7 linked regions of the Kluyveromyces lactis genome follow. The protein of the gene in region 6 binds, or shares a complex with, the protein of the main gene of each other region. Links are inferred from orthologs where the notes say so. Each region holds a gene or a part of one and is shown on either strand. Other genes may lie near its edges. The genes, in order: MRPL3, MRPL17, MRP49, MRP7, MRP35, MRPL50 and MRPL23.

What was found.
Region 1: MRPL50 (region 6) and MRPL3 share a complex: the UniProt entries of both Saccharomyces cerevisiae proteins name them as parts of the mitochondrial large ribosomal subunit. The link is inferred for Kluyveromyces lactis from reciprocal best matches to the Saccharomyces cerevisiae genes MRPL50 and MRPL3.
Region 2: MRPL50 (region 6) and MRPL17 share a complex: the UniProt entries of both Saccharomyces cerevisiae proteins name them as parts of the mitochondrial large ribosomal subunit. The link is inferred for Kluyveromyces lactis from reciprocal best matches to the Saccharomyces cerevisiae genes MRPL50 and MRPL17.
Region 3: MRPL50 (region 6) and MRP49 share a complex: the UniProt entries of both Saccharomyces cerevisiae proteins name them as parts of the mitochondrial large ribosomal subunit. The link is inferred for Kluyveromyces lactis from reciprocal best matches to the Saccharomyces cerevisiae genes MRPL50 and MRP49.
Region 4: MRPL50 (region 6) and MRP7 share a complex: the UniProt entries of both Saccharomyces cerevisiae proteins name them as parts of the mitochondrial large ribosomal subunit. The link is inferred for Kluyveromyces lactis from reciprocal best matches to the Saccharomyces cerevisiae genes MRPL50 and MRP7.
Region 5: MRPL50 (region 6) and MRP35 share a complex: the UniProt entries of both Saccharomyces cerevisiae proteins name them as parts of the mitochondrial large ribosomal subunit. The link is inferred for Kluyveromyces lactis from reciprocal best matches to the Saccharomyces cerevisiae genes MRPL50 and MRP35.
Region 7: MRPL50 (region 6) and MRPL23 share a complex: the UniProt entries of both Saccharomyces cerevisiae proteins name them as parts of the mitochondrial large ribosomal subunit. The link is inferred for Kluyveromyces lactis from reciprocal best matches to the Saccharomyces cerevisiae genes MRPL50 and MRPL23.

Annotation. Positions count from the first base shown.
Region 1 is NC_006041.1:685,872-690,287, reverse strand, and holds MRPL3 (mitochondrial 54S ribosomal protein mL44), read left to right. Parts: upstream 1-1,898; coding exon 1,899-2,846; downstream 2,847-4,416. Other genes in the region: KLLA0_E07679g (uncharacterized protein), read left to right, coding at 1-87; MSS1 (Mss1p), read right to left, coding at 49-1,554; KLLA0_E07613g (uncharacterized protein), read left to right, coding at 3,070-3,678; PEX12 (ubiquitin-protein ligase peroxin 12), read right to left, coding at 3,729-4,416. UniProt on the Saccharomyces cerevisiae protein: Component of the mitochondrial ribosome (mitoribosome), a dedicated translation machinery responsible for the synthesis of mitochondrial genome-encoded proteins, including at least some of the essential transmembrane subunits of the mitochondrial respiratory chain.
Region 2 is NC_006039.1:256,084-260,130, reverse strand, and holds MRPL17 (mitochondrial 54S ribosomal protein mL46), read left to right. Parts: upstream 1-1,846; coding exon 1,847-2,638; downstream 2,639-4,047. Other genes in the region: Nrd1 complex RNA-binding subunit, read left to right, coding at 1-1,529; TEX1 (Tex1p), read right to left, coding at 2,846-4,047. UniProt on the Saccharomyces cerevisiae protein: Component of the mitochondrial ribosome (mitoribosome), a dedicated translation machinery responsible for the synthesis of mitochondrial genome-encoded proteins, including at least some of the essential transmembrane subunits of the mitochondrial respiratory chain.
Region 3 is NC_006038.1:622,414-626,183, reverse strand, and holds MRP49 (mitochondrial 54S ribosomal protein mL61), read left to right. Parts: upstream 1-2,247; coding exon 2,248-2,640; downstream 2,641-3,770. Other genes in the region: KLLA0_B07205g (cAMP-dependent protein kinase), read left to right, coding at 211-1,578; RKM3 (protein-lysine N-methyltransferase), read left to right, coding at 3,132-3,770. UniProt on the Saccharomyces cerevisiae protein: Component of the mitochondrial ribosome (mitoribosome), a dedicated translation machinery responsible for the synthesis of mitochondrial genome-encoded proteins, including at least some of the essential transmembrane subunits of the mitochondrial respiratory chain.
Region 4 is NC_006042.1:1,139,412-1,143,852, forward strand, and holds MRP7 (mitochondrial 54S ribosomal protein bL27m), read right to left. Parts: upstream 2,195-4,441; coding exon 1,100-2,194; downstream 1-1,099. Other genes in the region: ILV6 (acetolactate synthase regulatory subunit), read left to right, coding at 1-830; SGF29 (Sgf29p), read left to right, coding at 2,824-3,564; GCN1 (Gcn1p), read right to left, coding at 4,183-4,441. UniProt on the Saccharomyces cerevisiae protein: Component of the mitochondrial ribosome (mitoribosome), a dedicated translation machinery responsible for the synthesis of mitochondrial genome-encoded proteins, including at least some of the essential transmembrane subunits of the mitochondrial respiratory chain.
Region 5 is NC_006042.1:2,240,845-2,244,571, forward strand, and holds MRP35 (mitochondrial 54S ribosomal protein bL35m), read left to right. Parts: upstream 1-2,094; coding exon 2,095-2,382; downstream 2,383-3,727. Other genes in the region: protein channel TOM70, read left to right, coding at 1-1,424; NMA111 (Nma111p), read right to left, coding at 2,605-3,727. UniProt on the Saccharomyces cerevisiae protein: Component of the mitochondrial ribosome (mitoribosome), a dedicated translation machinery responsible for the synthesis of mitochondrial genome-encoded proteins, including at least some of the essential transmembrane subunits of the mitochondrial respiratory chain.
Region 6 is NC_006039.1:791,301-795,009, forward strand, and holds MRPL50 (mitochondrial 54S ribosomal protein bL9m MRPL50), read left to right. Parts: upstream 1-1,778; coding exon 1,779-2,183; downstream 2,184-3,709. Other genes in the region: RSC6 (Rsc6p), read right to left, coding at 1-1,229; KLLA0_C09086g (uncharacterized protein), read right to left, coding at 2,569-3,709. UniProt on the Saccharomyces cerevisiae protein: Component of the mitochondrial ribosome (mitoribosome), a dedicated translation machinery responsible for the synthesis of mitochondrial genome-encoded proteins, including at least some of the essential transmembrane subunits of the mitochondrial respiratory chain.
Region 7 is NC_006040.1:209,914-213,853, reverse strand, and holds MRPL23 (mitochondrial 54S ribosomal protein uL13m), read right to left. Parts: upstream 1,964-3,940; coding exon 1,496-1,963; downstream 1-1,495. Other genes in the region: CRN1 (coronin), read left to right, coding at 1-1,151; protein disulfide isomerase MPD1, read right to left, coding at 2,239-3,225; KLLA0_D02464g (uncharacterized protein), read left to right, coding at 3,466-3,940. UniProt on the Saccharomyces cerevisiae protein: Component of the mitochondrial ribosome (mitoribosome), a dedicated translation machinery responsible for the synthesis of mitochondrial genome-encoded proteins, including at least some of the essential transmembrane subunits of the mitochondrial respiratory chain.

The sequences.
Region 1 (4,416 bases), on a different chromosome or scaffold from region 6:
GTGCAAGAATTGGAAGAATTGGCAGATGAATGGGAAAACTATTTACAATTACTTGCCGATACAAAACTTCGAAAAGACAACGTCTAAAACCTCTTCCAAGTCAACGTTATCACCAGTTATCTTCCCAATTCCATCGGAAGCTATTCTAAGTGATTCGCAAGCTATTAATATATCGTCATTCTTGTGCTGGAAGAACTGATCTAGGCCGAATAGAATATCAGTGCTTAAAATTTCTTTGACTCTATTGGACACGGTGACTGGATCTTCATTCTCAGTTGCCGAGATTCTTCTGAAACTTAATGTCAAGGTCTTAACTAATGGTTCCAATCCAATTTTGGTTAAGCAAGAGACTGTATGAATTTTCAGGGCTTTAAATTCTGCATCGAACTTTTCAATTAAGTATTTTAACTGGGTTTCAGTAGCTAAATCCGATTTATTCAACACGACAATTAAAGGTTTATCAGATAAGTTATCCTTGATAAATTCTTCAAAATGTTTACTTATATTTGGGTTAGATACATCAATGACCAATACCACTAAGTCACTTTGTAAACTTTTCTTTTTGGATCTGTCAATACCTTTGATCTCAATAGAATCTGAAGTTCCCTGTCTGATCCCTGCCGTGTCAGTCAAGATACATTTAAAACCGTTAATGTCCATCATTACATCGATAGAGTCTCTTGTGGTGCCCGGTATATCACTGACAATCGCAACGTCGTCTTGAGATATTTCGTTAACTAATGATGACTTCCCGGAATTTGGTTCACCCAACAATGTTAACTTTATCCCATCGTTCAAGACAGCCATTCTATCTAATTTCACCATGAATCGAGTCACTTTTTTGTATAGTTGTAAAAGTTTATCATTGGCACCATTCACTATAGAATCGATATCTTCCGTTTCGATATCTTCACCAAAATCAATAATTGCAGTTAGTTTAGCGATCTGCTCTATAATCTCTTGTCGCCATTCATGGAAAATGTCTACGGTCTGATTGCCATGCAATGCAGACAATCGCTGTAATTCTGTATCTGAATGAATCATATTGTTGATACTTTCAAGCTTCAACAAATCCATTTTCCCATTCTGGAAAGCTCGTCGACTGAATTCTCCCGGCATCGCCATACGAATATCTCTTTCAGAGTCCCGCAAACCCTGGATTGAGTTTAACGCTGCCTTTATAATAGCTTTCCCCCCATGTAGATGCAATTCCACTAAATCTTCACCTGTAAAGGTCCGTGGTTGTGGGAAGTACAAGACTAACGCTTCATCTATCAGAGTTGATGCCTTGGGATCATATAATGACCGAATCATCGGTTTCCTCTGCCGTAGCGGTTTTTTTGGCGACAATTTTTTTAAGATATACTTTGAATGTGTACCCGATATCCTAATTATAGCTATTGCAGAGTGCTGATTTGATGGCGTTGATAATGCATACACTGTAGGATGGAAAAATGTCGCTGGAACACTATAAAACCGTCGCAACATTGGGCTGAACATCACTTTTTGCGAAAAATTGAACCAAATGAGAGTGGGATCCTTGTAGACTACCATTACGATTCCAACTGCAATTTATGGTAGTTTAGAATAGTCTGTAAATATGTTTAGCTACCGATTCATCGACAATCCATAGCATAAGTGCGCCGTATCAGAAAGAATCTGGAATAATGAGATGTCTGTGAAAACATATTATTATCACGTGACTACTCGGAAAACATCAACAGTCTACTATATCCGGGTAATTGCAGATCTCAGTATCGAAATATTGAAAAAAAATTTTAGTGAAAGAGTTACAGAGAGAGGATGGAAAGAAGTTGAGTGATGCAGTGAGCTATTGGTGAGGTTTGCCATTGATATATACAGCAATCAACATCACCATCGAGGGGGGTTAAAGAAGGATGTCTGTTTTGAAGCTATTGAACCCTGTGCGAGTGCGAGGATTTGCTTCTTGTGCCAGGTTGTACCAATCAGAACTGTCATCATTGAAAGAATATAAGAATACCATCAGTACACTGTTAAAGAACCCTGCACATGAACTAACAAGCCCCAATTTAGTTGCACTCCATTCCAGATTAAGATTGCCTCAAGGCTTATCCTATTCTCTTTTGTCCAGATGTTTGACGTGTCGTTCTAGTGGGGAAGTGAACTATGACAATGTCAGTTTGAACATTTTTGGTAAGAGTCTTTTAACTTTGGCAGTTACATCCGAGCTAATGAAAAAATATCCTAGGCTACCGGGTGTGGTTTTGAATGCTGCTGTGGATGCATATATTAACGACCATGTTTTGAGCAATGTCGGTCGTTCCTGGGGTATAGAACCGGAAACTCAAAGTGTAGTGGATAGATATGCAAAGAAAGAAAATGTTACCATTACATTGGGTAAACTACGTTATTTCCAAAATTCCGTAGATGAATTGCATAACTTCACTGAGAACAATGCTATGGCAGTTGCCGTAAGGAGTATATTCGCCGCTGTATACAGTGTCGACAAAGATTTCAACCAGACACATAAGTTTATCGCAGATCATATTTTGTCCAGAAAGCTGGACGTTAAAGATTTGTTCGCGTTCGAACAACCAACCAGAGAACTGGCAGCTTTGTGCCGTCGCCAAGGATTGGAAAGACCGGTATCGAAACTACTTGCAGAAAACGGTAGATTGTCTAAATCACCCTTGTTCATCGTTGGCGTTTTCAGTGGTGAAGAGAAATTAGGCGAGGGTTACGGTTCATCTTTGAAAGAAGCTAAAGCCAGAGCCGCTACAGACGCTTTGTTGAAATGGTACTGTTACGAACCAGTGCATGGCCAACAGAATGTCGTTATTGACCAAGGCGAAGTGTTAGTATAGACAGGCCGCATCAGCAATGTATGTTTTCCACATAATCCTTTTCAGTTGAGATCAACTTTTAAAGATTTCTTTCCCTGTAAATATAATATACAAATACATAATAGTAATTCATACACTGTTGTACTCGAACGAAATAAAAAAGGAGGTTGTACGAAACTTAGTTGTGTCTTGAGGCCTTGCCTTATTTATAGCTAGATCCTGTTCTGCATTATTTGATCAAGATATGGATTTGAAGGAGGAAGTTCTGCTGCAAGTTAATTCGACGATCATTGAAAGTAAAGGAGGTCCGTTACTATTTATCCTTGTATTGGAAAATGAAATAGCATCACAGTGTTTTCTGTGTGATGGAGTTGGAAACGTTGATACGAAGCTCAGCCTTTTCAGCTGGAAATCCTCTGATCCAATTGGAATCCTAATGGTTGACCCGGACATTTACGATTACGATGACATGTTACAGTCGTTGAATTCGAAACAATACATTATTAAATCCAAGTTCCATTACTTCCCTGAAACTAGCAATTTGATACAATGGCATGAGAGTGTACGATATCCTTATAAGCTAATCAACTGTGGAGTAGAAATTCAGGATGATCATTCCGATTTAAAACTATTAAAACGTGATTTAAAAGATCATTTGGATAGGATGATTCAATATCTTGAAGATAATGATAGACCAAGCGATGAAATCTTGAAAGAAATTTGGTTATTAAAGCTAAGATACAGTAGAACATCGGCTCCAGACTTAGATTCAGAAATCTCTAGGCTGGAATCTGATATAATGATGATGCAAACGATGTTCAATCAAATGGAAACCAATGCAGAATTATTCTAATGCTACTGGCTCAATTATTCTCATTATTCATTTACTAAATTAATGCAAAACTATATTAATAACTTACGGATGCGTTTATCTATGGGCACACCAGTCGCGAAACATGTATTTTCTGTGCTTACCCATTTCTTGGCACACTCTAAATTAGCGACATATCCAGATGAAATCATGGCAGGTTCTGTTATTTCTTCGCCGCATAGGGGACATACGTCAGTCGTATCATTGTTATCCACCTCTGATGCTACGCCAGGTAGTACTGGAGGTTTTGGTCTCTTTACTCGTATCTCTTTCTTGAATAATTCAGGCCGCTGATTGATAATTTGTAAAATTCTGATCATCACTAGGAAGCTCGGGAATAACTTGTCCAAGAACATGGTCGATGTGCTCTCCACTGCATCCTTGGTCATAGCTAATATTCTGGGTAAATTAGTTCTTTTACGACGACGTTCAGAAAGAGTTAAAGTATTTTTCCTACTTGCAATTCCTTCTTCGGGTTCTTGGTATCGTTGGTATCTTATTTGTGTTATGAAATGGATCATATCAGTGTCTTTTGAATGACGCAAGTACTTTAATTTGAAACAGAAATTTATCACTTTGATAGTCTTCTGTAGCTTAGGATAATAGGCATCAAACCATTGTTGCCATGAGCTCAATTCTGGGCTCGTCAATTTTCTGGACTGCAAGAGCTCATGGTATTGTTCACAGATATCACTAACGTATTCGAATAAACAGTCATTC
Region 2 (4,047 bases), about 530 kb from region 6:
GAAGTGATCCAGCCCATCTAGAAAAAATTCAGGAGTTAATAAATATTTGGGATAAAAACAACGTTTTTAACAACAAACCTTTGAATGCAGCAAGGAGTCGTTTGAGTGAACTTGTAAATAGCAACTCGATCCCTCCATCTTCGTCATCTAATTCGTCTTTAACCCCACGCCCAGCTCCCAGTAATGATAATAAGTCCTCCTCAGGTAGTAAAATTGATCAAGTCTTGAACGCTATACCGAAATTCGAAAACCTTCCTGGCATACAAGTCCCGTCTGGTTTATTTTCAGAGGACATATCGGTACAGGACTCTTGTTTGAAAGAACTTCTAGGAAAGTTGCAAGTTGAACTGACAAAGAACCAAAAATTGGTTCAAGTAAACAAACAGGCTCCTCGCTCGATAGATAATTCTACCTCTTCTACCTCTTCATCGTCAAGGTCTACTCGCTCAACGCAGTACGTTGGAAGAGACTCCAGAAATGACAGATCTAGATCACCCCCAAGAAACAAAAATGACAGATCTCGAGCACAGGCAACAACTTCTCTGCATTTATCTAGGCAACAGCAGCAACAACAACAACAACAACAACAACAACAGCAGCAGTCAATTAATGGTCAACAAGGAAATAACCATCATTTGTACCCAGATGAGCAGAATGTTCCCTCAAACCCTCATTTTAGGCCAAAACCGGTATCCTTTGATCCAACTGTGCCAAGGGACCACGTAAAAGTATATTCCAGAACCCTTTTCGTTGGTGGTGTCCCACAAAATTTCAAAGAACATGATATTGCAAGAATGTTAAGACAATTCGGTGAGGTTCAGAGTGTTATTTTGAATAATGCCCGTAAGCACGCCTTTGTGAAAGTCTATTCAAGAGCAGAAGCGGAGAGGATCATGGCGCATTTCACTGGTGGTGGCAATCCGACACATGGTTTGAGAATCCGTTGGGCCGTTGGTTTCGGTCCTAGAGACTGTTGTGACTATCAATATGGATATTCAATCATCCCATTGGCCAGGCTAACCGAAATTGACTTCAAATGGTCACAGTCCGCGGAATGGGGTGGTACTGGTGGTCAACCAATCCAAACAAACATGGTTTATGAGGAGCCCGATATTATTGTTGGTGAAGGTGTTTCATCAAAAGCGATTTCGCAAAAGATGCCAACTGATAAAGGTGTTTTGGGTCCCAAGTCTGGTAAAGTTGGTCAAGCTACTGCTGTCTCTCAAACACCTATCCCCTACAGTAATATATCTCCTCCTCCTCCTCCGGTTCAAACATCACAAATACCGAACGTTCCTCAAATCCAACAACAGTATTATAACCAGCCATTGTATCAGCAGCCTCCATCAATGGTATATGGTCAAAATCAACTGCTGGGATCGGCATCATCTGCGCAGCAGCAGCAGCAGCAGCAATCGCATCAGTCTACTCAACCTTCGGGCCAAAAATCTCCTCAACCCCCACAAAATTTCGATCCAACTGCGCAATTAAACACATTGATGAATATTTTGAACCAAACGCCAAAATAATGCTTATATAAATGCACTTAAATAATTTTCTGTATCTGATAGCCTTTATGCATATGCAATTCACTCACTACTTTGTTCTATTAGTGACACCACTTGGAAAGTTATCAAATCCGTATATCGTGATCGATTATTTCATATTGAAAAATTTTGGAATAGTAGGCATGAGAGGATGTTCAAACAATTTGAAAAATTATTGGAACATCAGCATCATGTTGAAATAGTGCCGCTTATCAGAATTGGGAAGCATATTCACCAGCTGTCAATCATCGTGTATATTCAGTCAGCAACCCTCTTCATCGACACAATTATAAATAAAAATGTCTGTGAAAGCAGCAGCAAGCTCGATTCCCAAGGCAGTAAAGGCAGGTTTGGTACTTTCTCGTGTTCCAATCGTCACTCCAGAATTGAATGCACTAGAGAACAAGTACTACCAATACCAGGCAGAACTGGAAAGAAGACTAATGTGGACATTTCCATCTTATTTCTATTTCAAAAAAGGTACTTTGGCAGAGCGTCGTTTCCAGTCTGTACAGAAAGGTGTGATTAGCAAGCAGCCTGGTGTATGGTTCCCTAAAGGAGTGCCAGACGTCAGACATAACAGAGAAAGAAGTCAAAAGCAAGATATTATGCTACCAAGAGAGGCTTCAGAAGGTTCAAACAAGTCTGATGTCTCAAGGCCAATTGTTCCTAATTCCAGAACTACAAAGGCAGACGAAAATAACGATATTACTAGTTTAGACAGAAAATTGGACAGAACTCTGCATTTGCTTGTGAAGGATGACAAGGGAAGCTGGGTTCTTCCAAGTTTCCCGGTTGATATTGAAGCTAAGGAAGGAAAGAAAGCTTTACATGAGACCGCTGAAGTGGGATTAAGAAAAATCGGCGGAGAAGATATTAATACATGGACTGTGTCGAATACTCCAGCAGGTGTTCTACAATCTGAAAAAGATCTCCAGTTTTTGATCAAATCGCATATCATAGCAGGTGAATTCAAGTTAAAGGATGAAAAGTCAATCAAAGAATTTGCATGGTTGACAAAAGATGAAATCAAGAAAGCTGTTGACGAGAGATATTTCAATAGTATACAATATGTTCTTGCTGAGAATTAACATATTATCATCAAACACAGAAAGTATTGGCATGATTTAATCACTATATATATATGTAAACCCTCCTGTAAATACTGCTTCGGATAGAAATTCCAACCCGTATCGAACACTAAAAGATAACAATCATATACATATTGCTGAACTCTGATTGATTTTAAGATTGGAACATTATATACTTGTAAGAATGCTAATTAACTTTTAAATCTATCACCATCTATCATTTGGCTTTCTAAAAGAAGACCCTGTGTTGGAGCGACCAAACGACTTCTCACTGAATTTATCAGCATCTCTCTTGTATGGTTGTTTGCGCAGCTCTTTATCCCTCTTCCCGCGCTGTGGTGTGTCTCTTTGAGTTCTACTGCTCCGATCGGTGCTTTTCTTAACAAAATCATTTCGTTTACGATCATCGGTCGATACCATAGTTTTCGGTCTGCCTGAACGTAAATCAACCATTGTCATTTTATCAAGAGCACCAGTGGTGTAAAATATTAAGCACGACTTTGACCACTTGATTGTGGAACGTGATGAATTTTTAACCACCGTGTTGTATAGGATAGACAAATCATTGTACCAATAGAGACTTAAAAATGAATCGTGAGAGTCTAATGCTTTGCTCAAAATAGATATTATTGACCCATCAAAAGAAATGTCAATTCCAGTTATTCTATTATCTGTCTTGATTGATTTTTTCAAGGGCACAAGATCAGGTAACGAATAGATAGAACATTCGTTATGAGTTCCGACTAACAATGCTCTGCCTAATGGATCCATTATTAGTGACGTGATGGTTTTCATATCATTCCGCCTTTCACAGAGAAACTTTAATCCATCATCTTGGAGTGAAAATAGTTTTATGAATCCTGATTTATATGCAACGATAATTTGTTTGGAATCATTAGACCAGCAAAGGGAATGTATGGCATCATCCGATTTCTCATCAGGGGAAAAAGAGATACAAGATTCGTAACCAGATTCTGCATTGTAAATGTAGATTTCATTCGTCTTCGTCGCTACAACTAGGTACTTTCCAGAAGGATCATATTCCGTTATGAAGTTCTTCGCTTTAAAGTTTGTCTTAAACTCTTTCAACACACTCAACTTATCATCCACAACGTTCCAGATTTTAACAGTCGGAGTGTTTCCCACTGAGGCAAACTGTAACTCGTTGGGATTCCAACTAATAGAATACACTATTTTGCCTTCCCCATGTACGTCCTTCTTAATCGATCCAATCAAGACATGATCTTGGGATCGGTCTGATGTTAACGGCGGCCTCATGACAGTCAAACTACCATCAATTCTCGACCAGGACACGTATTTTGATGCTGAATGTGAATCCAACGCAATAATCTCATTCAGTGAAGTACGGACAGATCTGCTATCCTTTACTGCAGTAGCATGATAATCTT
Region 3 (3,770 bases), on a different chromosome or scaffold from region 6:
TACACTTTTCTTCATCATTAGTTTTTTTTTCAACATTCAGATCAGACCTTGGTTTGAAGGAAATCGGATAAAGGCTGGGCCTTATTTAGAACTCTTTCTAGTGAGAGTATAAGAGATATATCACTGTTTTGACTCTGTGCCAACTTTCTCTTTTTTTCCAATCTGAACCGCTATATCTTGCATGAGGCAAGACCTGCAAAGAGAAGAAAGATGAGACCTTTTGACAACGAATCCAAGGGATTTCTTTCTGGCCGAACAGATCAAATTGAATTACCTGTGGTACAGGCTGTTTCAACAAGTTCAAATTCTCAAGAACCACTTCTTTCTAGCAAAGACCCACTACGAGATGGAAGCAACGTGGGGAATAGGTTGAGTGGAAACAGCGAAACTCTGATAACCAACTCTGATGCTGATCATCCTATGGAGACGGATAATAATAACTCTAATCTTAATAATACTAATTCCTCTACTAATACTAATGATAACAAAGATTCGTCATCCAATTCCAGCAATAATGAAAATGGGGACAGTAGCAACAATTCAAATAGAAGGCATAGCAACCATTGTCACAAGCATAACCATCTAAGCAGCACTTCTACCCTCAAGGCAAGAGTTACTTCTGGAAAATATGCATTATATGATTTTCAGATTCTGAGAACTTTGGGTACAGGTTCGTTTGGTAGAGTTCATTTGGTGAGATCCAATCACAACGGCAGGTTCTATGCAATGAAAGTTTTGAAAAAAAACACCGTTGTCAAATTGAAACAAGTGGAGCATACCAACGATGAAAGAAATATGCTAAGTATAGTATCCCATCCTTTCATAATTAGAATGTGGGGAACTTTCCAGGACTCACAGCAATTGTTTATGATCATGGATTACATCGAAGGTGGTGAACTATTCTCTCTTTTAAGGAAGTCTCAAAGGTTCCCAAACCCGGTCGCGAAGTTTTATGCAGCAGAAGTTTGTCTTGCGTTGGAATACCTACATTCTAAAGGCATCATTTACAGAGATTTGAAACCAGAAAATATCCTTTTAGATAAGAACGGACATATCAAGTTAACTGATTTCGGGTTCGCTAAATATGTTCCTGATGTCACTTACACTCTCTGTGGAACACCGGACTATATCGCACCTGAAGTGGTAAGCACAAAACCTTACAACAAATCTGTGGATTGGTGGAGTTTTGGTGTTTTAATCTACGAAATGTTAGCAGGATATACACCTTTCTACGATTCAAACACAATTAAGACCTATGAGAATATTCTAAATGCTCCAGTAAGATTCCCACCATTTTTCCATTCTGATGCTCAAGATCTAATATCGAAACTCATCACAAGAGACTTAAGTCAACGGCTAGGTAATTTACAAAATGGAAGTGAGGACGTAAAGAATCATCCGTGGTTCAGCGAGGTTGTGTGGGAAAAACTACTCTGCAAAAACATTGAAACTCCATATGAACCTCCTATTCAGGCCGGACAAGGCGATACCTCTCAATACGATAGGTATCCAGAGGAAGAGGTTAATTATGGCATTCAAGGCGAAGATCCGTACCATAGTATTTTCACCAACTTTTAGCAGGCATACTTGCTCATGAAATTCAGATATCAACATGCCTCTTATCTTGCATCTACACAATATGTAAACTTTAACACGCCTTTCCCCCCGTTAGTCCCTTTTCTTTTTTTTTTTGTTTTGATATATCGGCTCATTGCCTTCAGAAACGCTGCCGTTATTTGATACATTCCTTTGAATGACCATCGTACAATACTAGATGGATTGATGTACGCACTTCCAATTCAAAATTCGTTTCATTCGTTTTGCTGTACTCTCCAATGGATGCTCGATGCAATAATCTTATTTTTGGAGTATTTATCTATCTATAATCAATGGCATTTACATATTTTGAATGCATGTATAAGACTTCATCACAAGTCCTTCCCTCACGATCCATGCTACATAAATTGTAAACTGGGGTAAGTCATGGCACATTCATTTATGTTTTGGACGTAACTTGCTTCTGTCGAATGATTTCACGTGACCAATGAATTTTTTTCCAAACTATTGAAAATTCAAAAAGTTCAGTGGACATGTCCAGTTGAAATGAGAATGATTTTACGAAATAGATGATTGAAGTGATATTGCTGAAAGTGAAGGGTCCTGGTTGCTCTACTTTATCGTCAAGGTTTATTTTACCGATTGGATACTTATACTCATTGTCACTCTAGAGAAGATCATTAATAAATAATGTCAGGAATCGTTAAACAACAAAAATTTTTGAACAAGATCAGTGCGACTACCGTGAAACCTCAAATTATATTAGATGTATCGAAGTACAGTGCATTGAATGTGAAGTTCCAGTATCAGAATTTCAATGGCCATATGGGTGCCCGTAAGTTCTGGCACGAGTTTTTGCCTTCTCTGCAGTTTTACAACCCTGCGTTGCCAATCAATGTGACCAGAATTAGAAACGATGATAAAAAAGTCGATGTACCATGCATACTAGAAGCTATTGGATCCGATGGGAAGGTTGTAGCTGAAGTTTCAATGAAGCACAAACACTCATCTGAAATTATGGATGAAGTGCTACAGAAATTGGAACACAAAAGAGTACCCCAGGAAGAAATAATAAAGGTATGAGCTCCGACCTTTGACAAAGAAAAACAAACAAACTGGAATACCTAAATATACTACTTTCAAAGTTAGGTCCTGTACATATGTATATAATAAGATACTTTTCATCCGATTTGATGTCTTATTCAAATGACATATCCTTTTGAGATGAGTTGACTCTCTGCCCAAGGATCGTCAAGACATTCAAGAACACGCGAGAAGAAGATTTAAAACGCCAGTATATGGTTACCAGGTGGTTATTTAACTTGAATTTCAGAACGCCTCTTACATCTAATTGTCATTAAGACATCTTACATTAACAGCGACTTCTTCATCTGCGGAAATGGTTTTCTGCGTATTGTTCAGTTGAAATTTTTCAATCTCGAAAATGATAAATCGCTTCAGATCTCATCATCTCATCTCATCTCATCGGTTGACCACAGAAATTATCAACACCCCAAAGAGGCATATAGTAGGGGCATTATTCACAGGTGAAGACTCTCAACCCAACAACACGAATGTCTAATACAGACTCCAGTGATACAGATGATATTCTAACATTTGTACTGGAATCCAAGGGGTTTTTCCACACTGCCGGCTGTGAGATTAGAAGATCTGATTATGGTGGTTTAGGAGTGTTTGCATTAAAGGATTTGAAGGAGGACACTGTACTCCTTAGGATTCCGAAATCTTCTGTTTTCACTGCAGAAAATAGTAGCATTGCCAATCTACTGGTTGATAGCGAGGTAAAAGGCATGTTGGCATTAAACATTGCATATATTTATGAAGTATTCATATTTCAAGTTGAAAGCCATTGGTACAAATATTTGAAGAGCATTTCACACAGACAAAATGGGAGTCTATATCTTCCACCGGCATACTGGGAAGATAATGAGAAAATTTTGCTGAAGAATACTGCATTGGATGTTGTATTCGAGGCGTTGTCTCCACAAGAAGAGATAGAAAATGGTTTCAAAGTTGGTATTGCATTATCCCGTAAGTGGAACGAAGAATTTGGGCTGAAAATACCGTATTTGTTCGACTTCAATTTAGAAGATCAGAAGCAAGTCTCTTCGAATTTTAAAGAATTTGCTGCTATAGCATTCGCCATATCGTCAAGAGTATTTGAGATCGACAACTATCATGATTCTGGATTA
Region 4 (4,441 bases), on a different chromosome or scaffold from region 6:
CTTCTTCGACTTCGGCTCTTGCTTATAAGCAACTGCATAGAAATAAGGCAAGACCTCCTTTACCAACGATCGAAACTCCATCTTGGTCTACTAACAGTGCCATCTCATCGATCCTATATGAAAATCCAGTAATCTCAAAGGAGCCAAAGAAACAACATGTTTTGAACTGTTTGGTTCAAAACGAGCCAGGTGTTCTATCGTTAGTCTCAGGTACTCTAGCTGCAAGAGGCTTCAATATCGATTCCCTTGTGGTCTGTAACACTGAAGTGAAAGATTTATCCCGTATGACCATTGTGTTGCAAGGTCAAGACGGTGTCATCGAACAAGCCAGAAGACAAATCGAAGATTTGGTACCAGTATTTGTCGTGTTGGATTACTCTCATTCCACCATCATAGAAAGAGAATTGTTGATGACAAGAATCTCTTTGTTGGGTGCTGAATACTTCGAGGATTTGATTCATCACCATGAACAAGATGAAAATACTGATACCGTTGAAAGAATAAGACAACAGCAATTCCATCCTTCCAACCTTCCACTGTCCCAAGTATTGAGATTGAAGCATGAACATTTAAACGACATCTCTAACTTGACTGGTAACTTTGGTGGTAAGATTGTTGATATCGCTGAACAAAGTTGTATTGTGGAATTATGTGCTAAACCATCCCGTATCTCTGCATTCTTGAAACTTGTGGAACCTTTCGGTATCTTGGAAGTGGCAAGATCAGGTATGATGGCTCTACCAAGAACCCATTTATCTGTCGGTGATGAAGATGATGCTCAAAGCAAGATGAATGACATCGTTGATATCTCTCAATTGCCTCCTGGTTGATCCAAAGGGCTCACCTGCCATAGTTTTGTACCTCAAAACAATCCAATATCAAAAAAATAGTAATGTAAGAGTATGTTTTGGATTTTGTCTCACACATATAGACAAATTAAATACGTTAACGATATAATATGGAATTAACCTTTCCAAATGATATATAGTCTCTAAAAAACTTTCGTTTTTTTCAGTTTAAACTATGATGATTGTTGTGGTTCTTTTGTTAATATGTACAAGGCTCTAAATGGTTTGTTACGTAACGACTTGGGGAAGATTTACAATTTGCTCAAGAAATCGGTCTTTGGTCTTGTAATGACATCTATCGTGTTTTGTTCGTAGTTGTAACGTCTGGTGGTTAGATTTTTCTTGGAAGGTTTGAGTGGTTCTTCCAATTTCTTCAATTCTGTTTCTGGTTTCACTGGCTTCAAGAATTTTCTGCGTAGTCTCACCTCTTCAGATAACGTCAAGAAGTTCTTTGCATCAGTAAACTTGGCTAGTACTTGCTTCTTACTGTTCTTGTCCTTAATATCAATTGCCTTCAAATCAGTAATTAGTTGTGTCTTTAGAGTATTCTTTTCTTCTGGAGAAATGTATTTAGTTAATTCAAGCTTGTTGTTAAATGACAATGATTCATTCAATTTGGTCGAGACCTGTTTCAACAATGTTAGTTTGTCGTCCAACTTAGATTTTTCTTGGTTTCTCATCTTCAATTTAAGTTCTTGTTCCAAATAGTAGTACGAATTAAATCGGGCATCGGATTCATTGAACCCATTCTTCAAACAAGTTCTCCATCTGAGCAAATATGGTAATGCAAACGCAAGTTCTTGTTGATCCAGCTCAACTTTCAGATCTGAAATTATCTTGCTGTATTCTGCCTTCAACTCTTCACGTTTAATCTCACGTTCTTGCTGTTTCTTGATCAATTCATCCTTCAGCAAATAAATCTTTCTTGGTAAAGCGTTCTCTTCTGCAATGGCTTTCTCTTCATCCTCAATGATGGCCTTGCCGAATCTTCTCAAACGTGGTTCGAAATGCGGCAAAGGAAGCTTTACATCCTTGTATAATGATACACCAATGAATTTCTTACCTGGATGAAATGGATCCAAATAGTATCTCACATAACCCGGCTCCAAAGCGAAAAGCGTATGATCTTTACCGATGCCTACATTTTCACCAGGATAAAACTTGGTACCACGTTGTCTCATGATGATCTCACCAACTTGAGTGGCTTGACCCTCGTATTTTTTTGGACCCAATCTACGACCAGCAGAGTCCTTCATACTGGTACGAGAACCTGCTGCACGCTTGGTTGCAGTACGCACCTGCTGCACCACAAACTTGGGAACTTGTTGCCACGAAGATGAGAACATTATGCGTTGTTTCGTAGGCCTGGTCCGAACAGTATCAAGCAATGTCACAGTAACTGTATTTCTGCGTGTATCTGTACTTAATGTATTTAAGATAGGATTTTAGTGACAAAAATTTTCCACAGTATGGCGGATTGTAAGGTAGGGTAACAACGAAATCCAACAAGATATAGCCCTTCGAAGGTTCGTGTAACTGACTGTTTAAGAGTTGAAAGTATTGATTTATACATTTTACCAATTTCATCTATTGCTGAGAGTTCTTTCGATACCATAGTGAATTTTTCATGCTTGAGAAGGAGTAAACGTCTAATTCACGTCAAAGTTATTCGAAACTGAGGTTCCAATTAAAGATCTACCATCACTATATACGTTTTGATGTTCTCTTCCAGCACGAAAAACTCATATTTCTCTAAGTACAAAACATCAAGAAACCGACACTGCTTGCATCGAAAAGAAGTCTTCACCTTTCAGATTTACGTTTGAATAAACAGGACGTCCATTTATAGAAGTTTCCCAAATTAATTATCGTGCTGGTGAAGCCCATATTATCTAATTGAAATAGGAATACTAAGAACCGACAGCCCATAGATAAAAAAAAAATAAAACAAAATATATCAGTGATTCTAGCGAAAATGGCAACGGAAGATAGATGGGGTCTTGCCGTGACTCAATTACAAGATCTATATAAAATAGGAGATATTGCGGGGTTTGAGTCTTTAGATCCGAAGAATATGAATTTCCAGAATATGAATTTGAATCAATTGGCTGATATCCATGAGAAATTAGAGGCTCGTCAGTCTGTAAATGAAAAGATGAGAAATTACTGCAGAGATTTGGTAGAGAACATTTCATACATATTAGATAATTATCCAGTGGAAGAGGAACCTATATTAAAGGAGGAATCCAGTTCGACGCATATCCCTGAATCGAGTGTTGTTGGTAGATCACATTGGACCAGTCAATTCAACCCAAGTGAACCAATTGAGGTTGGTTCCGAAGTTGCATATAAATCTAAAAAGACTGGCGAATGGATCCAGTGCATATGCACAAAAGTTTCTGGGGACGGACTCCGGTTTGAAGTGAAAGATCCAGAACCCGATGAATTTGGGAAACCAGGTGGTATATTCAAATGTAACTCGAAAGAGATCCTCTTGATCCCGCCCGTGACTATGAAAAGAACCCAGACTCCGAATTATCCAGCGAATACAAAAGTTTTGGCAAGATATCCAGAAACAACGACTTTCTATCCAGCTATTGTTTGCGGAAGCAAAAGAGATGGGACATGTAAGCTACGATTCGACGGTGAAGAGGAAATAGACAAGGAGACTGAGGTGGAAAGAAGATTAGTTCTTCCTTTCCCCTCTAGACGATGAGTTTCTTAATTATATCACGTTCACGAAATGTATGTAATTTTCCATAGCCTGTAACAATAAAGAAAAAAAAATTATGAAAGAACATTAAATAAACCGTATCACATTGAGATAATGTAGGAACTAGTAGCGGTGCCTGTTTGTGATTTATCGCATCAGACGCGACAGACATTAAATACCATAGTTCTAGTTTCTTATTGTCGAATATTTTGTATATGATTCATGGTGTACCTTTTTAACAAAGTGACACTTAAATCAATAACAAAACTGTGTTTTGTGCTATTGTTAGTGAATCTGGTTCTAAAACTGATGAAGGCTCCAATTTTGCCTTTATTATTCCGGATATTAACCACCTGCCCAGCGAACAAAGATGTATGTATCTTTTGGTGGCAGAAGTATTCGATAGTAGAACAATGGGTATGGAGGTTGATTGATTATATTGATTCAGAGAGACTTCAGGTTCCACATGAACAAGTTTAAGTCACCATTTCAAAGTACATCTAGTAAATCGTGATTGCTTTGCAGTAATAATTTTGTAAGTGTCTCTTACAAGTCAGTGAGATATATAAATCTGTATAATATTATGTTTGTCATTACAGAGGTTGGGTTTGTGCTGTTGTTCTAAATATCAGTGTTTAGCTCAACACCACCAACGGTCCAGATTTCATTTTCATCTTCAAATCTATCAGAGAACATCGCCTCGGCATCTCCACCGGCTGCAATCTTGTCTCTTTCAACAGCAGCTAGTCTCTTACCAACTCTCTTGGTGTAATCTCCTAAGGATCTTAGTTGCAAAGTGTCACCAATACTGTTTTGTATGGTGGATCCTTCGAGTTTCGAGAACCAGGAAGTGAAGGTTTCCAAGTTTTCTTCTTCAACA
Region 5 (3,727 bases), on a different chromosome or scaffold from region 6:
TTTCATTGAAAGAGGATCCAGTGTTTTACTCCAACAGATCTGCTGCATACGTCTCAATTAACAATTTCGAAAAAGTTGTTGAAGATACCACTGCCGCTTTGAAATTGAAGCCTGATTACTCCAAATGTTGGTTGAGAAGAGCTAGTGCTTATGAAAACTTGGGCCAATTCTCCGATGCTATGTTTGACTTGTCGGCTGTCTCTTTGTTGGGTGAATACAGCGGTCAATCCGTGGAGCAACTGCTGGAAAGAAACATGAACAAACAAGCCACAAAGGTCTTGGGTGAAAAATTGAAGGAGAACCAGGGTAAAGAATCTCCATTACCATCTAACACCTCTTTGGCATCATTCTTCGGTATCTTCAACCCTGAAACTTCTTTCGATGATTACGATGGCGAAAATGAAGCAGATGTTGAGTTGAAAAAAGGTTTGGAAAACTTGTACAAATGTCAAACCGGATGTTACGAATTGGCTGATGAAGAATTCACCAAGGCTGCCGAGTTATACAAGAAAGAATTAGAATCTTCTCCAGATAATGAATCTTTGAAGAAGAAGGCTGCCATCGCCTTCGAACATGTGGGTATTTTCAAGTTCTTCAAAAATGATCCAATTACCGCGCATATTAACCTGGAAGAATCGTTGTCTTTGAACCCAAGACCTTCTACTTACATCTACATGGCTTTGATTATGGCTGACAAGGGTGAAGCCAACCAATACAAGGAATACTTTGACAAAGCTTTAGAATTAGATCCAAACTGCTCTGCTGTTTACTATCATCGCGGTCAAATGCATTTTGTTGTTGAAAACTTCAAAGAAGCTGGTGCCGATTTCGATAAGGCTAAGGAATTAAATCCAGAAAACATTTTTGCCTACATCCAATGTGCTTGCTTGGCTTTCCGTGACGATAGATTTGATGATTGTGAAACTTTGTTCAGCGAAGCCAGAAGAAAGTTCCCAACTGCTCCAGAAGTTCCAAACTTTTATGCCGAAATTTTGGCTGCTAAGAACTCTCTAGATGCTGCCATCAAGCAATACGATATTGCCATCAAGTTGGAAGATGCTTTACCAGGTATTCACGTCGGTATTGCTCCAATGATTGGTAAGGCCACTGCTTTGATTAGAAACCCAACCGTTGAAAACTTCGTTGAAGCTTCCGAATTATTTGAAGAAGCTTGTAAGATCGATCCAAGATCCGAACAAGCCAAGATCGGTCTTGCTCAACTAAAATTGCAACAAGAAGAAATTGATGATGCCATTCAATTGTTCGAAGATGCTGCCGATCTCTCAAGATCTTTCGATGAAAAACTACAAGCTACTACTTTCGCTGAGGCTACCAAGGTCCAGAAAAAGATCAGAGCTGATCCATTCATTAAGGGTAAGATCGACGAAGCTATTGCAGCCTACCGTGCTCAAGGTCTCGCGTAAATTAGCATGATATTCACGAATGAATTTAATTCATTTCAATATGAGTAAAGCTACAATAGCTCATTGTTTTTGTCTCACCTTAATGACCATAATGGCAACATACCATGCAACATCTAAACGAATGAATTACCAAGAAAGTTATGATTTTACAAACAAAAAGTTGTAGCATTTCACCCAAGTTATTTATGACTCGTAAGCAGCGTGAACTGTGTTAATCGTAAACGACAAGATCTCAACATTACAACGTGAAGAATAAGAAATAGTTATCAATTCTTCACAAAAACAAGACAAAAAGAAACACAGAAGAACAAGAATACGAGAACAACGCTTTTCAATAACAGCTCATTGCAAAATATGTGCTCCTAAATACCCCTGGTTCAAAAACATCATCTTCTACCATTTTGCTAGAAACAAATACGTCTTTCTGTATATACATGTATCTCCCCCATCTCACAATTTAATCAAATTGTAATTTTAAACACTTCGATAGTATATCACTACATACGTTTCAACATAAATGACATTTTTTGTTTTCTCTGAAAGAAGTGTATGTAATAAAAGTTTCTTGTGAGATTATGGCAAGGTACTGAGTGAAAGTGAGCTACAATTCAAGTACTTCATTGTTAACGGACTATAGCAGGATTTACCCCACCAGCGAACTACTTCAAATATGCTATCTTCTATCTTTGGTTCGATGATGAACTTTTCCGCTAGAACTGGACTTCTGGGATCTAAAACTAATGTTTCATCGCTCATCCTCACCAGAAACTTGATGAAAACACACAAAGGTGCCGCAAAAAGATGGAGAAAAACAGCCAATAGCTTCAAGAGGGGCAAGGCTGGAAGAAATCATGGTAATGCTGGATGGAGTAGGAACTCCCTTAAATCATTATCTGGCAGGTCATTAGCAGACTCCACACATATGCATCGTTTAAAGAGATTGCTTCCATACCATTAAGAGATGAAAGGCAATTAAAATAAGATATCGTTTCGATTTCAATCCTGTACATATAACAATGGCATCCCCATAATGAATGACACACCATTTCTTACCATGATTTTCAGTAAAGCATGTCATGAAAAATCAGCGGGTTACTATAATGGATAATTATCATTAATAAATACCTATATACAATTTGCAAACAACGGTAAAAAATGATTAATCATATATATAGTCAAATTAAGTCTCCGAGATATCATTCTCGATCCAACTACCTGTTTTTGGATTCTTTCTTAATTCTACCGTTGGGAAGTAGTGATAGTTTGTCTTTAAGGAAATGGCAAACGGAACATCGTCAAATGTCATTAAGCGTAACTTGCAGTATGTATTATCTGGGATTTCTTTAACAACCTTCAAGAATGTATCCAAATCAGGTGTTGATTGGTCATTGACGTGTGTGATAAAGTTGGTCACTTCTATTCCGTACTGTAACGCCAAAGAAGATGTACCACGAGAAACCGCATATACTTCACTAGGAATAGACGTTTTTACTTGACGCACGGCATGATGAGGAGCTTGTAGTACGCAACCTGCGAATACGACAATTCTAGTGGTTTCTTCAATTTGTACAGTTTTTATTTTCAAATCGATAACCTTCGCATCTCTTACAACCTTGAATAACAACTCAGATTCGATATCCGTATCGTCATCAGTCCCCACGACACCACCAATATCCCTCATTCTTTTTACCAGTTTCCCATTAACTGATAAGATAATATCACCAGGCTCGAGCCTTTCCTTTATTGTTGTATAGGAGTTTCTGGTGACACTGATGAATTGTAATCTGTTTTCTGATTCTTCTTCCATCATCTTAATCCATTCTTCAGGAACACCTCTGATTCTAGCCTGCAATAATGAGATGGAATCAAATCCTGCGTCCACAATAGAAACCTTAGGATTCTTACCAGCCCTGAGAATATCTACAACTTCTTTGATATCCACTACGTCTAAACCCATTAAATACAGTTTTTCCTTGTTACCCATGCAGGATAACCAGATTGCTCTCACTGTACCATCATCTGCCGCTAATATTCCTGATTTACATTTGGTGCTTATATTCGAATCAATGGAGATGACTTCTAGATTGGTTGCTCTATACCTAGGAATGATGTCGTTAGGAACACTCAGAGAAGAGATGCCATTGACTTTAGTCTTGGAACTGATTAAAGTGTTTGAGTACATGTAACCAATGAAATTAGTTTCGTCTCCTCTTTCAAGCCTTTCATTAGCTAGCACTGGTGTGCATACTGGGGCGTCAACTAAAGATGGATCATATTGAACAATAGCGTAATTTTGGGTAGGA
Region 6 (3,709 bases):
TGTAGCATTGGAACTGGATCCTTAGCTAGTTTATCAAAAAATTGGTATTTCTTTGCGCTTGAATTTAGTTGTAGTTGTAATAGTTGTGTTTTCTGATTTAGTTCTTGTATTTGTGGTTCGATTGCAGTTGATAGCGTATTGTATTCATTCAATAGCAATAATTCATCCTTTGACAACTTTTGGTCGCCTTTAACTGACGTTGATTTAGGTACTTCCATGTCAAATACCAAATCTCCGAAAGTGGAAGACTGATCTACACGAATAGTATAGTCAAGTCTTATTGGAGGTATCGGTTTTACATGATCTTTCACTAGACTTGGCAAATCGGCGAGCTTCAAAGAAACAATGCCTGCGGCAAGCCTTTCTGGAGACACTAGCTTTGCTAATGAAGCATCCATTTTCACTAAGACTTTCTCACCGTTTGTGGAATCCTTTGGTCCCGCCTCGTCGTTATTCGTCAATAGACTGTTTAATAGAATATATTTGTAAAGAGAGTATATCGCCTCATGAAAGGTTCCTTTTGAGAATCCGACAATACATGATAGTTCTGGTGAATACTGTAAGAACTCCCCTGTATACCCTTTTGGTTGGATAGTGATGGTACAGTTAACGTTTTCAGTACCCTTACGTGAAACATCAACACCGTCAAACTCTACAGGAGTATTAGGATCCACATGCCATTCAAAAACGGTTTGCTCATTTTTTGGCTTTTTAGCACTAGGTTCCTGTGTCCCTTCTAATAAGGGGTCTCCCATTTCTTGATCAGTTTCATCATCTTGATCTTCCTCTACAGGTTTGAAATCTATCGCGACGCTTTCTATAAAGGAGGAAAATTTAGGCCTATTTGGATCGTCTGCCTTCCCATTATCTAACAGTCTACCTTCAATACGCAATGTCCATGATGCTTGATCAAGTTCCATGGTCTCATCGTTCGTCTGCCATGGCTGGTTCTCAGAAATATTAGAAATGAAAACACGAACAAACTGATTATTCGCAGGATCTGTGTATTTGGAATGAGTCCATTGAGTAATATTCTGATGCAAATCAATTTTTTTACGACTTAAATATATGTCAATTCTCTTCTCAGCCTCTTGTAACTTACTTAGCCCATCCAATTCTGGTATTAATTTCTTCAAATACGGTTGGATATACATGTCAGTTGGTTGTGCAACTGGCACAGTTTGTGCCTGTTGATGTTCAACCGTTGCTCCACTCTGTGCCGCAGACATTTGATTTTGATTTTTCTTTAATCTCAATCTAGCGGTAGCTTAGTTTATTCTACTAGGAGGTAAGCAGATGATATGTCTCATCTATACAAGTTGATGCATGTAAGTTAATGTACCAAAAGCTAGTGAATGCTTTGTTTAGGTTGATTGAATAATTCGAAAAACTGATGTTGAAACAACGAAAGCACCCATACACCCATACACCCATACAATACTTTATAGCGAATCGTATTAGGTTAGATTGTATCCATTACGCAGTTCATTTATAAATAAGTATTTCAAAGGTTACAAACACGGAGTAGTACAGTATGAACGGCTGTCACTCGCTAAACCAATCTTTTATCTTCTTTTTATGTACACATCTTTTAACTAGGCTGGCACTTAGATATGATTTTAAAGCTTCAAAAATTTTTGATAGTTTAAAATCACATTAGAACAAGATCAATCTAAAAGTTAACCATAAGCAGGGAATTAAAAATAGCGTCAATTGTGTTTGAAGTGCTATTCCAATAACTGCACACGCTCCAAGGGCTTTTAAAATATTACAGCAAAATGTTCAGACCGACATCATCGTGTCTTTCTGCCTTAACCAAACGTACAAAGAGAGTACAGGTACAGTTATTAAAAGATTTTCCTCAGTTCCAATTTCATACCGGCGAGGTGGTAAATGTCAAGCCCTCACTAATGAGAAACTTCTTGCACAACTATAATGGAGCCCGCTACATTCTAAAGGAAACTGATATTGACCAAGCCCTGTTGACCTCAGCTAAGAGATCACGTGCATCAGCAGCAGCTTTATTAAAAACAACCGAATCAACGGTGAAGAAGACTGAACAGAACGTAAAGAAGGCTAAGCAGGTATCCAAGGAAGAAAATAAGACACCAGAAACTCCTAAGTCAGCATTAAACGAAGAAATAACTATCGAGAATGTGAAGATTCCAGGATTAGACTTATGATAGTAAATGTTTTATCTTTTTTTTCCTCCTTACGCGGATCATTTGAGATACCAATGTCTTACAAAATAATAATGATCATGGATGTTGTTCGTGACGTCTCGTCCCCATTGCGGTTCAGAGGCACATTCATACACTTGTACATAAATTACATTAAAATAACTTGCGAAAACAATAAAGAAAGTTCGTTGCATCCAATCGCTACCAGTTGAAGTAATAACGTGGACAGTAGATCTGGATGATTCATACTAAATGGGGATTGACAAGAGAGTTATTACTACAGGAACGCTCATCACCTGGACGAGCATATTTCTCTTGATCAGCTTTAACTGTTGCTTTGGAAATAAAGAGACGAGAATGAGAAACAACCCCAATAGTGATGAACTTTCTAAATTCTCATTTTCTGTTTGTTTCTCAGACGTCTTTCTCTCTTTTCTCTTTTCTTCAACTCCATTTTATCAAGTTCTTGGTCGGTCAACTTGTCTCTCATATCCTTTCTCTTTTGTCTCTCAGCTTCTTGTTTTTTTTCAAGAGCCATTTCTCTTTCAACCTGTTGCATGACTTTAACAATCTTGCCTAACTCTTCTTTACGCAATTGAATACCCTTCTTCAAAATATCAGTGGTGATGAAAGAATTGGATGAGTTAGTTTGAATATCCTTAGTAACATTGTCATAAATTTCGACAACTTTGGTTATCAATTCCTCCAACAATTCGATATCTTTGTCAGAAGTTACCAAGGATAAGTAGATGACACAACGTGGCAATTGAGAAGACTCCCATAATTTGTCAGTAATCGGTTTCTCTTCTGGTAAATCAGTGAAAGAAATAAACTTCAAGAACTTGGCAGATTTAGATAGCAACACCTTGAAATCTTCACCGGCATAGTGAGGAATAAATCCGTTCAACTTATTTGATTCGGACATGAAAACATAGTCTGCTGGTAAAGATTCATTTTCAGCGGTATGGGTCAATGATAAAAAGTAGTTTGAGTCACGAGCTTTAGTCATCACTGCTTTGTTAACGATAGATGTGATGAATTTCAATTTGGACAAAGTTTCCGCTGAGTTGGCAGTTAGCTTAGCATCTTCAGTAGAGACGAATTGGCCATTTGGAGTAATGGTAACTGAGATGAATTCTTCAATGTCGTTGGCAACTAATGTTGGTAAAAACAAAGCTAATGCCTTTTGAGTTAACAATGCCAATGGGTTGTGACGAGCCGTCAAGTGTGCCTTAACAATTACGCTTTCAATAGTAGAACGACCAGTGGCAAAAGATGTGAACCAGGTGTTATTTTGCTCCTCAATATATGGCATCTTCTTGCCATCGGCACTAAAACCAACCTTTGTAAAAGATAACTTTGTTAACAAGAATGTGTTCAAAGTACCAAATATCTTATCGGCATATTTATTGTTCAGAGTCTTACCATAATAAGAAATGAAAAATAAGATAGCCATGAGACCAATGCAAGCCAATTCAAAGGTCCAATTATAAGCAGTCACTCTGCCCCAAAGTCCTAATTCCTTTTGT
Region 7 (3,940 bases), on a different chromosome or scaffold from region 6:
TATCGGAGTACCAGTCCACTGAACCTCAGAGAGGTTTTGCAGTAGCTCCAAAAAGATCTGTAAATGTGAAGGAGAATGAAGTGTTGAAGGCTTATAAAGCTGTAGGTGAACACGCCGTTGAACCGATTTCTTTCTATGTGCCTAGAAAGTCCGAGGTTTTCCAAGATGACATTTATCCTGATGCTCCTTCTAGTAAACCAGCATTATCTGCAGCTGAATGGGTTGAGGGTAAATCTGTTGATGGCCCAATTTTGTTCAAACTCCAAACTTTATATGATGGAAGCGAACCTGAATTCACAGATTCCAAGAAACCAGTCAAAGAATTAACTTCAGAGTCTAAAGAACAGCCAAAATCTCCATCTCAATCTCCATCTCAATCCCCATCCACAGAAGTAAAGCATGAAGTGATAATTCAACTAACGCCTAGTAATAAAAGTAAGAAAACATCACCAAGTCCTGCTTCATCATCTAGTTCTGGTAGTCCAGCTAGGAAAGAAATGCCACCAGCAAAAGACACTGGCAAGAACCAAGTAGACGAACTATTGAGTAAGGATGCTTCTGTAAACAAGTTGCTGCAAAAGGCTTCTGACTTAGATGCTGATAATGAGGCTGAAAACCCAAGCGAAGAAAGTTCAGTATGGGACTCTGAGGATGAAAAGATCGTGAAAGCATCACAACAACCAGAAGTTGTTGTGAAGGTGGAAGCTAACACCGATTCTGAACCTGACAAGGCTGCTGAAGAGGTTCCACAGCAAAAGGAAGAAAATTCGTCTACAGAAATTACCTCGAAGGCCTCAGCTTCTTCTAAAGTCGAAAGTACTCCAGAGGCAAAGGTCGAAGCTTCATCACAGGCTAGCGTGGAAACAAACATCCGTGTGAACCCTTCTCAGGAAGACAGCGAAGAAAAGCCATCTTCCAATCCGAATACAGGTGGCGCAGCTGGAGCAGCAGCAGCAGCTGGAGCAGCAGCAGCAGCTGGAGCATCTACGAACAAGTCTCTCAATTTGAGACAATCTGTAGAAACATTATCTGGATTAGTTCTAAAGTTGGAAAGCTATATTGATAAATTAACCGAGGAAAATACCCGCAAAGATGAAATTCTTGCTGCTTTGGAAGCAAAAGTAGATCGTCTTTTGGAGCAAGGGAAATAATATCAAATATGAAATACATCCTTCCCTAATTCTTCTCGTTTTTGTTCTGTTAAATGTTCTTTCTTCCAGGCAAAAGTATTATGCTTTGGCATACTGCGATGTAATATCTTTTCTATCTCTGTATGTGATTTGTATGTGATTTGTATGTGATAATTAACATATCTAAATAACAATCTATATGTACATAGTAAAGTGGAAGAGTTTAGTACAGTGAAAAACGACAGACATTGTATGCGTACTAAGGAGAACCATTTAGATCGAATAATAATATATACAGGGATTTTACATCACATGCTGCCGTTAACTTCTCAAAAATTAAGAAGTCACATAAAAATTCATCCACACTATTTCTTCTGGTGTTGCAGCTCTAGTTGCTGATCAGCAAATGCGGTGATATTACTCTTGTATGGATGTTCACTTCCATCGAAAATTTTTAATCTAGCAAGTCTGATCTTACGAAGTTTATTCTTGGGAAGCATTCCGGACACAGCCTTCTTCAAAACTTCACTGTAACCCTTGTTACTGATCATGTCTTCCATTGTAGTCAACTTTAATGAACCTGGTCTAGAAGTATGCGACCAGTACGTCTTTTGGGTCATCTTGTTCCCCGTCACACGCAAAGCTTGGCAGTTCGTTACCACAACATAATCACCGCAATCAGCAGATGGATGATACACTGGCTTGTGCTTCCCCATTAACGCTAGAGCAACCTGAGATGCCACCCTACCAAGCGTTCTCTTGTCCTTGGATATATCAACATGATGCCACATCCTGGCAAATGCCAAACCAGTATGTCCTACCTTTTGAGACATACTTCTAATATATTGTTATTTTGCCTCCTTTCTGACAGGTTAAAACGTGGCACCTAAAAAGTTAAATTTTAAGTGATGCTATTCAACTGTAATCACTTAGGTAAAGGGATAGTTCGGGACAGTCAGTTGTCTTTTAACTCATCATATGTTTAGCTTGACAATCGATTTGATTAATTGATGTTTAATTTCAGCTTGGAGCCAAATTTTTTTCAATCGCTCATATTACTGTTACCCGGATGTTAAACACAATCTATATACAAGCTACTAACAAATACCTACAACTCATCCTGAACTATGTCGTCCTTCGTAAGTTTAGTCTTCTGTTTGTTCTTTTTAGTCTTGGACTTCTTTGACTTTGATTTATTCAAAATAGATTTGAGGTATTCTTGTCTCTTACTGAGTGGACCTTCCCTTGGTTTTGACTCGAATTTCGAAAGGAACGTTGCAATGTCATTTTTATCTGTAGTTTTTAATATGTCTAGTTCGTCATAAGTATCTGTTTCTCTATCTATCACTACGATTCTGGGCGATTGTAATTCAGTTTCACTTTTTTCTAACGATTGGAGGTATTTAACAGTATTTGGCCAATTCTTTGTATCGTTCTCAAAACTCAATTGTGACACGCCTTGCAATTTCTCGTCCCAGATCGAATAGAAATCGTAGATCCCAAGCCAATCGAGGGCTACAGATTTATATAAAGTTGGAATCTTCTCCTTCTTTGAGATAAGCACTACAGCGTACCTGGTTCTTGAAGATTTTAATAGTTCTTCGAACTTACTGTAACGGTTCAACCGCTTCACGTAGTTTTTCACTCTAGATAAAGCGAAATCGACAATGGGCTTCAATTTCCTTTCTCCCTTGTACACTTCTGTGGCATGCTGTGACGCAGCACCATTGGAATTTTTCTTTGGGTTATCCAAATTGATCTTTGGAGGCCTGAATACCATTAACGTTGGGAACCCCGATACTCTGTTCTGTGCACATAATTGTTTATTCACACTTTCATCACAGTTCACTCCAGCAACTTGTACCATTCCAGAGAGGATTTTACCGGCAGATTTCATGGAACCTTTCAATTCCTGACAGTAACCACACCACGGAGCATAAAACATGACCAAAGTGGTGTAATTGGTCCTATGAATGACTTTATCGAAGTTAGAAGGTGTCAATTCCATGATATTCTCATCACGGTCGTAGAAATTGGCTCCGAACGCCAGTTCGACCAACAAAAACAATGCATATAGAAGACGTGTGTACATCATAGTCTGGAGGACTTTAGAAAATGTTCAACGATGGAAGTTAACAAGGTGGTTTACTCTCTTCTCTTTTTGTCAATTTCGAGTGATGTTGAATTTCTTGGCAGCAGTGGACCCAAAGATTTGATTTTGAAATCGTTAAAAGGAACATCGATACATAAGAACTAAGAAATAAGGGGACACGATCCCATCATCATCATCAAAGGAATAAGGAAACACACAATAGCAGAGCCAAGTGATTAGAGAATGTCATTAGAAACTAGTTCTCCATACGCATTTTATGCTTTCTACCAGTTATACAGCCAATTTTATCGCGTGCCTAAGATAACACTAGAAACCGTGAACGATTTTTTGTATCAGGGGAAAGGTTTAAAACCTGAGTTTGCACGGAGTCCCCTATTTGTCACATGGAAGAAGTTGAAGAAAGGTGAATACCAACTTAGAGGGTGTATTGGTACGTTTTCCGAAGGTAAGATTGAAGAGGGTTTGAAAAGGTACGCTTTGATATCTGCATTGCAGGATTCGAGATTTACACCAATCGAGCGGGAAGAATTGAGCCAGCTAAGATGTGGATGCAATTTACTCAGTCAGTTCAAGACTATTTATAGCAGTGAGGGCACAGGCAATAGTGGTGATATTTGGAATTGGGAGATTGGGAAACATGGTATTGAGATTAAATTCAGGCATCCCAAGACCAATTCTCGGATGAGTGCTACTTTTT